3 linked regions of the Bombyx mori genome follow. The protein of the gene in region 1 purifies or fractionates together with the protein of each later gene. This does not show direct contact. Links are inferred from orthologs where the notes say so. Each region holds a gene or a part of one and is shown in the gene's direction. Other genes may lie near its edges.

The links.
Region 2: the proteins of Ago1 (region 1) and protein Gawky purify together in Drosophila melanogaster (affinity purification with western blotting; 17 studies listed by BioGRID, with this or other methods). This does not show direct contact. The link is inferred for Bombyx mori from reciprocal best matches to the Drosophila melanogaster genes AGO1 and gw.
Region 3: the proteins of Ago1 (region 1) and endoribonuclease Dcr-1 purify together in Drosophila melanogaster (affinity purification with western blotting; 5 studies listed by BioGRID, with this or other methods). This does not show direct contact. The link is inferred for Bombyx mori from reciprocal best matches to the Drosophila melanogaster genes AGO1 and Dcr-1.

The regions. Positions count from the first base shown.
Region 1 is NC_085111.1:12,337,720-12,341,379, reverse strand, and holds the end of Ago1 (argonaute 1), read left to right. Parts: intron 1-884; coding exon 885-1,033; intron 1,034-1,593; coding exon 1,594-1,771; intron 1,772-2,378; coding exon 2,379-2,570; intron 2,571-2,912; coding exon 2,913-3,221; downstream 3,222-3,660.
Region 2 is NC_085123.1:4,237,036-4,240,695, forward strand, and holds part of protein Gawky, read left to right. Parts: intron 1-2,812; coding exon 2,813-2,985; intron 2,986-3,068; coding exon 3,069-3,635; intron 3,636-3,660. UniProt on the Drosophila melanogaster protein: Required for gene silencing mediated by micro-RNAs (miRNAs). Silences both polyadenylated and deadenylated mRNAs. Required for miRNA-mediated translational repression and mRNA decay. Not required for miRNA target recognition.
Region 3 is NC_085117.1:4,323,036-4,326,695, forward strand, and holds part of endoribonuclease Dcr-1, read left to right. Parts: intron 1-428; coding exon 429-549; intron 550-1,644; coding exon 1,645-2,108; intron 2,109-3,488; coding exon 3,489-3,645; intron 3,646-3,660. UniProt on the Drosophila melanogaster protein: Endoribonuclease which functions in microRNA- (miRNA) gene silencing and, independently of its ribonuclease III activity, also acts in the short interfering RNA- (siRNA) gene silencing pathway.

The DNA.
Region 1 (3,660 bases):
TCGTGCCGATTAGGCTGTTGACCTATTGCTGAAATTTTCAATTCCAAATTTTTTATTCATTCACACACACATCAGGGCAATTATTGTTGATCAATTTTTAATTTACATCGATCCAACTTCTAAGGCTTATGATCTTCGTTCAACCCGTGAAACTTTTCTACAGTTGTTATTAGAACGCATGTGGAAGTGTAGAACGACATCTAGTGGCGTTCGGTTGCAACCAACAAATTAGTGTATGTTGTTACCCTGATGTACGGCAGCCGTCGCTCATGGACATCAGCATCGACAGCAACCTAACGCTACCTCTTAAATCGTTTGAAGGATATGTCATAATGTCATTCATCACATGCGTCATGAAGAACATTATTAGAGCGAGATAGATAGAAGTGGTCCGTAATAGTTTATCTATATATTAATACGTGAAGCAAAAACTTTGTACCCCTCTTTACGAAAATTGCGCAGACGGAAGAGTATGAAATTTCCCACACCTATAGAGAATATAGAGAAGGAGTGTAGAATGTTAATATTTTTGTTAATTATGCATTTTTATTTATTAAATCGATAAAAAAACATTATGCGCACTACCGTGTATTTGACACGCACACGCATGCATACTCTTTGTTTTTTGTCAAACTTTTCTTATTGCTTATAGTATGTGGCCAAATTGAGTATAGAATAAATATTGTTTGTCATTATTAAGATTTGTCTAAATAAAGTGTAGTCTTAGCGAAATCGGTGACTATAGAATTTTAATAGTCCTTGACAATAGAATCTTAATAATGTTCAAACTTATAATTTCTATTAATTATAGTCGAATTTCGACTATTGGGGGGGGGGGGACTAGTTCTTTTTAACAGTCTAATTCTGTCGTTTGTGTCGCGCAGGTGTTCAACGAGCCCGTGATCTTCCTGGGCGTGGACGTGACGCACCCGCCCGCCGGTGACAACAAGAAGCCTTCCATCGCGGCCGTCGTCGGCTCCATGGACGCGCATCCGTCGCGGTACGCCGCCACCGTCAGGGTACAGCAGCACCGGTAACCAGCCCTTCCATATTACGTAGTCGTATATTATTATTTCCCTACCTATTCGCCGGTAGAGTTGTTCCAACTACAGTAGATTGGCGGGAATAGAGACTAGAGTTAGAATAGGGACAAATCTGGGATGTCACTTTTGTTGTTGTTAGATTTGAATTTGTTGAACTGAAAAAAACGTTTACTTAGTGTTTAAGAATGTTAAATAGTTTAATTAGTAATTTTTTGCTTAATTCGCAAGAGCAAGTTTCCTTAAAGATACATCATATAAGGTCTATTCAGAAATTTATAAAACGTAAAATAAATTTAGTACTTTAGAAGTAGATTAGTGGAGCGTGTTTTCCAGTTCGAATCGGGAGGTACCACCGTCCTACCAATTATATTGGTGCAAAACAAGCCATACAGATTTTCTTCATTACTAGTTTCACACTGCAATAAAACCTAAATGAAGGTTTTTAAATTGAGCCCTGGGAATCGCTTACGAACAAAGCGAGCTGTGAGGTCATACGTGAGGTCTTTGACCATCTACGCGAAAAATTATATTCAATAAAATCCTTTTACAGGCAAGAGATAGTTCACGAAATGAGCAGCATGGTCCAGGAGCTGCTCATCATGTTTTACAAGAGCACCGGCGGATTCAAACCCCACCGGATCATCATGTATCGCGACGGCATCTCCGAAGGCCAGTTCCTGCACGTCTTACAGCATGAGCTGACTGCTGTGAGGGAGGCTTGTATCAAGGTCATTATTATTTTATTAATCATTTTATTGACTTTACGTTTATTCATTATTTTAACCCAATCATTATCACTTATATGTTATTTTATTTATGTCGTGAAAAGTGCAGTATTACCAAACAAGTTTTGAAGGCTGGGTGCTACCTCAGAACAAGACATTAATTGATGTACTTTAATGCAGAGGTTACATAAAACAAACCGTTTAGTAAATATAATTTCATACGTAATACTCTGTTCGTAATAGTCATCTGGATAGTGCCTAAGTTACTTTTGTACCTGGTGTTTGAGACAAATTTTAATTATTGCTTAACTATAAAGATGTTTCTTTATTATGAATCGTTTATTTAAAGTAATCGCCTATAATTATATCTTCCAGATTAGGATAAAGCTAAGAGTTTTATCTTGTTATTATTGTCATACACGCGGGAAACCATATAAGATACGACCAATTCAATCGAAGTCGGATCTCGTGACTCTGTGGCTAATTAAGGTCAATGACCTAAATAATAACATTCGGGATAATTGTAACCTGTACAAAAGAATGTAACAACGTACTTTATGCTACTGAATAGTTTCAATAGTAGTCACGTATAATATCATATTGGTTACAGCTGGAAGCGGAGTACAAGCCGGGCATCACTTTCATCGTGGTACAGAAGCGACATCACACGCGGCTGTTCTGCGCCGACAAGAAGGAGCAGTCCGGCAAGTCCGGGAACATCCCGGCCGGGACCACGGTCGACCTCGGCATCACGCATCCCACCGAATTCGATTTCTACCTGTGCAGTCACCAGGGCATCCAGGTACGTGCCAATACGATTCAATCGGCCGTTCTCTAATCTGGTATACTGATGCTAGGACCTCTTCTGAGTCCGCGCGGGTGGGTATCACCACCCTGCCTATTTCTACCGTGAAGCAGTAATACGTTTCGGTTTGAAGGTTGGGACAGCCGTTGTAACTATACTTATAGTTGTAAGAGCCGCGCTTCGCAGAATCTACCAACGGATTGGAAACGCGACCCACTGAGAAGATCCGGCGAGAAACTCGGTGGGCTGTGTTTGAGGATTAAACAGCAATGCGCGCGTATTGAATTGACTGATACTAAGTAACTAGATGGCATAGTGATGTTGTTGTGTCGCCGACAGGGTACGTCGCGGCCGTCGCACTACCACGTGCTGTGGGACGACAACCACTTCGGTTCGGACGAGCTGCAGTGCCTCACGTACCAGCTGTGCCACACGTACGTGCGCTGCACGCGCTCCGTGTCCATCCCGGCGCCGGCCTACTACGCGCACCTGGTCGCCTTCCGCGCGCGCTACCACCTCGTCGAGAAGGAGCACGACTCGGGCGAGGGCAGCCACCAGTCCGCCTGCAGCGAGGACCGCACGCCCGGCGCCATGGCGCGCGCCATCACCGTGCACGCCGTCACCAAGAAGGTCATGTACTTCGCCTAACGCAGACGACTCATAGAGACATATCTAACGAAACACAAACGTTCACTCCCAACGTTCCGCCGTCGATTGTATCGCGGAGAAACAGTTCTCGAACGTCAAGAAGGTCATGTACTTCGCCTAAAGCCGACGGGTCCGCGCGCGCCCCGCCAACTCAAACATAATTCGACGCTTGACAGGCAAACGTGACTAAGCGACAATAACTGCTTTGTACATAAACGATAGGCAATAACCGCTATCGATGCGCAAAAAAAAAAAATATTTCTAGGTCTATTAAAATCATATCAATCCCACAGCTAGATTCGTTAAAATAGTATAATAGTAGTAATAATAATTTTTTTTTCAGGTATTTCAACTTTAAATTAGTCTACTGTAAAGTTCACGCATTGTCGCTTAGTCACGTTTGTCTTTCAAGCGTCGAATTATCTAACTCATAGGGACA
Region 2 (3,660 bases), on another chromosome or scaffold:
TTGAATTATATAAGTCTATAACACTAACTTATTATTAAAATTAAATATTTTAAAGTAAATGTGATTATTTAATCTTTAGATGACTTAAGTTATAAGGAACACAATAATAGTATGAGTTAAGTGAAAAAGATCAACAATTAAGATATATATTATAATAATATAAGTCATAAATATAAATAACAACTCAATGTTTAATTAAAATTCTACTTCTTCATCGAGTTCTAAAATATCTGGATCAGTATTTCGTAAAGTTTCCAACGTGGGAAGACTTACGTAAAATTCATGGAAAATATCCGGTATTAAAGGGAGCAGCGAAATTAAATCATTTTTTTTCTCGATGGATATGGGTAATGGCTGTATAGATATTATAGGAATATGATCAGGAATACTGGACCCTCTTCTTTTATAGTTAAAGGTAGAAAAAGGCGAATCTATATTCAGGGTGTCTTTATAAGTGAGAATGCCAAATTCTTGCTCATAGCGTAGCCATCTTTTTTCCAGCCATTTAAACTGCCGCCCATCGGTATCTTTATTTCTTAAAACTAAAGCACTTTTGAGGAGGGATGAAAAGTCATAAAAGTCTGTATTTTTCATTTCAACAACCTTAAACTTTTTGCTGCTAGACCGGATCAACTGTATCCAATCATGTGGATGAAATACCTGTAATTCCGTTTTCTTCTTTTTTTTTTCTATGATGCCATGATCGGTATCTTCTTCTAAATGGCTATGGCCAGGTATCATAAATTTGTGGTCAATTGTTTTGATAGCTCGATGTTTTTGCAATACCCAAGTAAACATACAACTGACATGGGAATTCCTATTTTGCCCACCGCATGTATCCGAGTAAAAAATTATATGTTTCGTATTATCAGATACGGATGTTTCTAAGTGCTTGTAAATACAAGAAGCGATTTGGTTAGCTCCCCGAGCTGCTACCGCCTCGTGCCACATATAGCAAACAGCTTTACCAGTTTTGTTGTCGTGGACAGTTAAATTGAACGTTCATAATTGCCGTTTATAAAAGGCTACAGAAGAACTTAGAGCTGGTGTTGGCAAACACTGCTGTAAATCAAATGTGTACACCTGTAACGTGTCATCATTCTTGCACATTAGCGTGTCAGCTCGTTTCATTTCATAGGCTTGATCAGCTAGCGTTTTGTGGTTATCATGTTGAAGTATGAGATCTATTTTAACAGATTCCTCTTGACATAACTGTATCTGCATCTTAAACTTGTCACAAGTGTAACAAGTATCGACACGCGGTTTTTTAAATGAAAGTCCTAATTTGTGAAATTCCTGACTATAGATTTTGATTGAAGGTGGATTATTCCGATCTTGACAAAATAACTCAAACATCTTTTGCATTGTTAAGTGAGATGGCAAATACTTCTTTGATGTAGACTTTCTCGTATAGTGACTTTCGTATGATGGAAATGACATGATATGTGTCTTAATTTCTAGGCGTTTTTCGTTTGATATCTTATGCTTAGGAATTGTTTTCCCTCGCATGTCATCAGTTTGAGTACCCCCTATGGATGATCTCCTTTTCATAGCAACTGTCTTTATAAAATTGTCACTTTCATCTAACGTTTTCATTAAACATCCTCGGCAGACAGGTTCACGTTTACCATGCACAGTAAAAAAGTATTTATATGTCTTCATTCTAAGCTTTTGCTTTTCAGGTTCAATAGCTCGTATTCTTTGCGTAGATTTATCTTTAATTTCCATTAAAGACGCCATGTATGCAGATCTTTTTGCATATGACCCCATTTGCCAATATTCTGTAAATATGGCATGCCTATCAGTTAGTGGTATACGTTCTTTACATTTCATTCTGCAAACAGGTAGCTCTTTCATAGTGCGATCTGATATACATTTTCCTTTTAATGTTTTGTATGCCTGTCCTAAGTTACGTTTTAATTTTTTTTCTCTTTTTATAGTACGTATACTCTTTTTTGGAGACACATTAAGATTAATTGAAATTTCATCACAAGTACTTGAACTTGATGTGGTTGAAAGTCTCGGTAATTCATAACATGGATCTCGTACAAAATCATCACTAGAGAAGTCAAGTACAGGATGGTATGTTAAACTACTGACTTGACCTGATGATGTCGACGGTATAGGATTGTCTGCCACTAGGTTCTCTGAGTTCAAAATCGACTGTTGATTTACATTTTCTAAAAAAGGACAAGACAATCATCTATTTATAATGATATAATATTGATATAATTACGTAATTTGCAAATCATAATTTTGAAGATATGTGAAAATATACCTTCATTGCTTTCCAGATGAGTGGATAACGCCATTTCAACTAATTTCTTGCATCTTTGAATATTCATCTTAAATAATTAAAATATTTAAGCACTCACACACAACTAACTAACACAACTAACCAACAAACTGTGCACAATCGACAACATTAGTAAATTAAAACCACTTACCGAAGTATTGTTTACGTTATAAATATTTTTAAGTAACCACTTTCTCTAAAGAAATGTTACATTTTGATGTTCTTTATAACATAAGTCAGACTTCTTACGTTAATAACTTTGTACTTATGGTGTTCCTTAGAACATAAGTCCAGTTATGTTTTTTAGTTCGTTTGATTATATTAGGATTTCTTAAGGTTGATACAGAACGCCGCTTGAATACGCCATGAAATACTTGAGTTTGATTTATGTGCTTTAGTCAGATTGTGTGTTGAGCAAAATGTAAACCGATGATGTAATACAAAATAAACTGAAAATTTTGACTTATGTGCTTTAGTCTGCCGACCCTAGAATTAACATATGTTATCTTTGCACAGGTACAAATAATACAACTAATGGAAATAATGGAATTAATAATGCTAATGGGGGTGTGAATGGTTCAGCTGCTGGCAATGGGACCAATGGTAACAACAACAGCACTTCATCAGCCAAAATTGAACAGTTAAATTCAATGAGAGAGGCATTATTTAGTCAAGACGGTTGGGGAGGTGTAAGTATAGAATACAATAAAATAAAAATCACAAATGTCCATTATAAGTATAATAATATAATTCATTTTTTCTGTTTTAATAGCAACATGTTAATCAAGACACTAATTGGGATGTCCCCGGTTCACCTGAACCCGGTGCAAAAGTTGAACCGACAGCAGCAGGAGGACCTCCTGCATGGAAACCCAATGTTAATAATGGTGCTTTCCTTGGAACTGATCTGTGGGAAGCTAATTTGAGAAATGGTGGACAACCACCTCCACAACCCGCTTCTAAGACACCTTGGGGTCATACTCCGACGACTAATATTGGTGGCACCTGGGGAGAAGATGATGATGTTTCTGATTCTGCTAATGTGTGGACTGGGCCTCCACCACCACAACAGTGGCCAGCTGGTCCACCACAACATTCTCAGCAATGGGGCATGCCAAAGAAAGATGATTGGAATGCTTGGGGTGAACCTCATAGAGGAGCAGATCCAAGATTGGATCCACACAGAGGCTCCGACCCTCGGCAGCAGCCCGTGGATCCTCGTCATGATCTGCGTGGTGGTATTTCGGGTAGACTCAACACTGATATGTGGAGCCAGCATCAACATACAGGACCGAGCAAGATGATGCCAGGCAGTGGTGTCAGTCAATGGGGAACACAGGTGAGTGTCGTGAGTGCCGCTGATG
Region 3 (3,660 bases), on another chromosome or scaffold:
CTTGTATGAAATAATATCAATATTTCACATCTGACAGCCTTCTGGCTTATTTTATTATGTACCAGATAGATTAACGAATGTTTTTAGTGTTTTCCTTACCACTTGCACAAAGAACACTGAAAATTTTCCCCTTTCAGAAAGTAGGTTTTAATTATTAATGCATTTACCCTAGCTTTTGGGAAATAAAAGTTGTATCGTTACATTTAGCTGTACTGACATGATGGAGCGTAAATAATCCTAATAAGACGTTTTAAAAATATGTTTTTTTTTTTAAATTAGTATCGGTTTTTTCCCCTCCCATCATCAAAGGTGTCATTAGTATTATCGTCTGTCTTCGTTTTCGGAAGCGATCTCCGAACACCCAGTATAATAGTGAAAGCTCAGTAACCGTGAATAAGCTCCATTTGCAAGACAAGCTCGCTGTCCAGGTACCGCTCGTACGTGCTGTGCCGCAGCCGCGCCCGCGCCGCCCGCTCCGCCGCGCTCGCCCTGCTGCGGACCGGGGGCCCGCTGCTCGACACGCTGCCCATCTACAGGGAACTCGATCAGGTATATCGCTCGTAATACTAATTTATAAATCAATCGTTCCGATAATTTATGGCGTATATTATAGTATAAAGTATGTCTATTATTCCTTATACTAATCTAAGTTGAACTATTTAATATTGAAATTATTTAACTTGAGGAAAGCTTAGTAAGTCTGATTATTTTTTTATTGATACCCACGTCATTAAAAAAAAAGCCTTTGACAAACAGATGAGAAAATTTCACTGTATTGCTTTATCTTCATCAGCTTATTACATTACACAATATAAATTATATGCTCTCAATGATATTACTGCCAATTTAGGTTTTGGGATGCAACCTTTCTTTGTTGAAATTATTTTGCGAGAGAAAGGGATCGACATATAAGTCTTATTCATTCAGTAAAATCTGACGATTTTGGTATATACATATTATATATTCAATTGAGCTTTGTATAAGCAATACGGGTTGTATTTGTATCAGATGTGATGCACGGCGCAATGCAATACAAACTCGACTGACGGGATGAACGACCTCATAGGATTCGCTTTTCATTGCGCGTTAACTAACCGCTATAGTCTCCCTGAACTGTATATGTCAAGGGCGCACGAACTATTTAAAGGCGAAAGGCTATTTAATTTAAGCGACATTTTTGCAACATTACAGAAGGGCCATTTAAAGATTAAAAATTAACAACTTAAATTTTATTTGCATAAAATGAAAAGGATATATTAATAGTTTTTTTTTTTAAGAATTGGCTCCAACGCCTTAGGCATTGATTTTGCTAATGTCACAGTATATACAAAAATGACAGGTGCTTAGAAGAAAAGAAAATTTAATTACAAATAAATATGATCAGTTTTTCCATACGCGAATCTCTGGTTTTAAGAACAGCACAAACAAATATGTTAGATTAACGAATTTAAAGATATATAAATAGTTAGGAATTACATACATTCTTAGTACCGCTGCCGGATGTGTGAGAGAAAGGGAAGACAGACAGACTGGCGGCGTAACGCGTTAGGTAACGAACCGCGGATTACCCTCTTATAAGAAGTTATCACTTCAATCGATAGCGTTTTGAACTATTCTCCTGATACAGTGATGTATATTTTACAGATCATAACGCGGAAATGCGGATGCGGTGTACAGAATGAACCGACACAACAACAGGAGGATGAGGCCGACACATTCACCGGACTTATAAAGCCCTACGCGCCGAATGATAATAAAAAACATGTATTGAGAATGGAACCATCGATCGACCATATGAAGGATAGCAAGAAAGAAACTAAATTAAGTGAAAACTATGTAACCGTGTCAGACGTTAGTGACGTTAATGAATTAAATGATAAAAGGAATGTAAAAGAAAAAGATGATAAAAAGATTGAATGGACTAAAACAGAGGACGTCGATGTTATCTCAAATAAGTCCGAAAGTGATTTGTGTCAGACTTGTAATGACAGTGATCCTTGTCCGAGTGAAGTGTCCAAAGTGTACAGTGATCTTAAGTACGATGTCAAGTGTGAGAACGAGACGGGTGGCAGTGTGGATCTTAGTTCGGCCATAGCTTTGATTAACAGGCAAGTTAATTTTGTTTTAATAGCGTCACGCGCTGGGGTTCGCGATAAATAACAATTCTACCGAAGCACAAATTAAAACTGTATAAAACACTTAACACCCACTTTAAAATTCTCAATGTATTTCATCCGCTTCGCTTCAGGTGATCCGTTCGCTGTTTCGATTCGATTAGATCCGATTACTGACTGAATTCGTGTCATCTCTGCAACGCTTTTATAGTCGATACGAAATCCCTAGGTTTGTCGACAACGTTCTGGGCAAGTCGAGAAGCTTCAGTGTGTGTTTCCTCTATCTGACAATAGATGGCGTTGTACCTCTCGAGCATACCAGATTTCACTGGTTCCTTTGATATTCGTTTCTGCTATTCGACGATAGATGGCTTTGCTTTCACTGGGGTTACAATAGTTACAGATTATAAACTAAAGGGATGGTATTAACTGTTTATCCGAGTCTATAGATACCACAACGTCAATTCTATGACCTGTCTCGAGATGTTAGGTCGAATTTCCGCAATTCTCCACTATTTAATGGATATTATTATACATGTAAACCTTCCTCTTCAATCTCTCTATCATTAAAAAAAACTGCATCAAAATCCGTTGCGTAGTTATAGGTTCATGATCCATGATGCCGTCCATCTGATGGTGAGTGGTTACCGTCGCTCATGGACGTCGCCAATGCCAGGGTCATGGCGAAGTCGAAGTTAATCTCACGACATAATAATATGATATCGTTTTCTACTTGCTAGATATCTTACGCACACTGTAACACATTACACAGTGTGCTTAGTGCGAAATTTTTAACCTTCTCGATAGCGTAAAAGTTAACTCTTAATTTGTATGAAGTTGGAACGTTTGCCTACGTTTGCCGCTAGGGGCGCTGTTCCAACTGCATACTTTGAGTTCACTTTTACGCGGTCGAGAACGTTAAAAAACTCGCTCTTAGCACAGTGCACAGTGATCTTCACTGTTCGCTTGGAATTTGTATAGCTTTTCTCGCTTTGCACTCTTCAACTCCTGCGTTGTCGCGCTCACTTGTGTGTCACATATGTATGCCCAACGCTACGTCCAATGCTATGTCCAACGCTACGTCCAATGCTATGCCCAACGCTACGGTCCGGAGCGTTGGCAAACTTTCGTGCTGTATGTCTCTATGTCTAAGTAATGTGTCAATCGTTCTCTGAACGTTCGTATGTTCATGAACTAGATGGCGTTACTTGTTCATGTCTAGTAGCGCTATTGGCCAAGAGATGGCTCTGGCTGTCATAAGGTATTAATACATAATTTATCACATTAGTATTATTGGAAAGACTATTATTATCATTTTAGTTCAAATTCATGTATTGGGGAAAAAATAATTAAAGTATGAATTTTTGTTATCAGGTACTGTGGAAAGCTCCCCTCCGACACGTTTACTAGGTTGGCCCCTCAGTGCTGGACGGACAAGGTTCGACTCCCTGGTCGGGACGGTGTCGAACGGGACGCATACATCTGCACGTTGAGGCTGCCACTGAACTGTCCTGTTAAATATAATATTGTCGTAAGTATATACTTA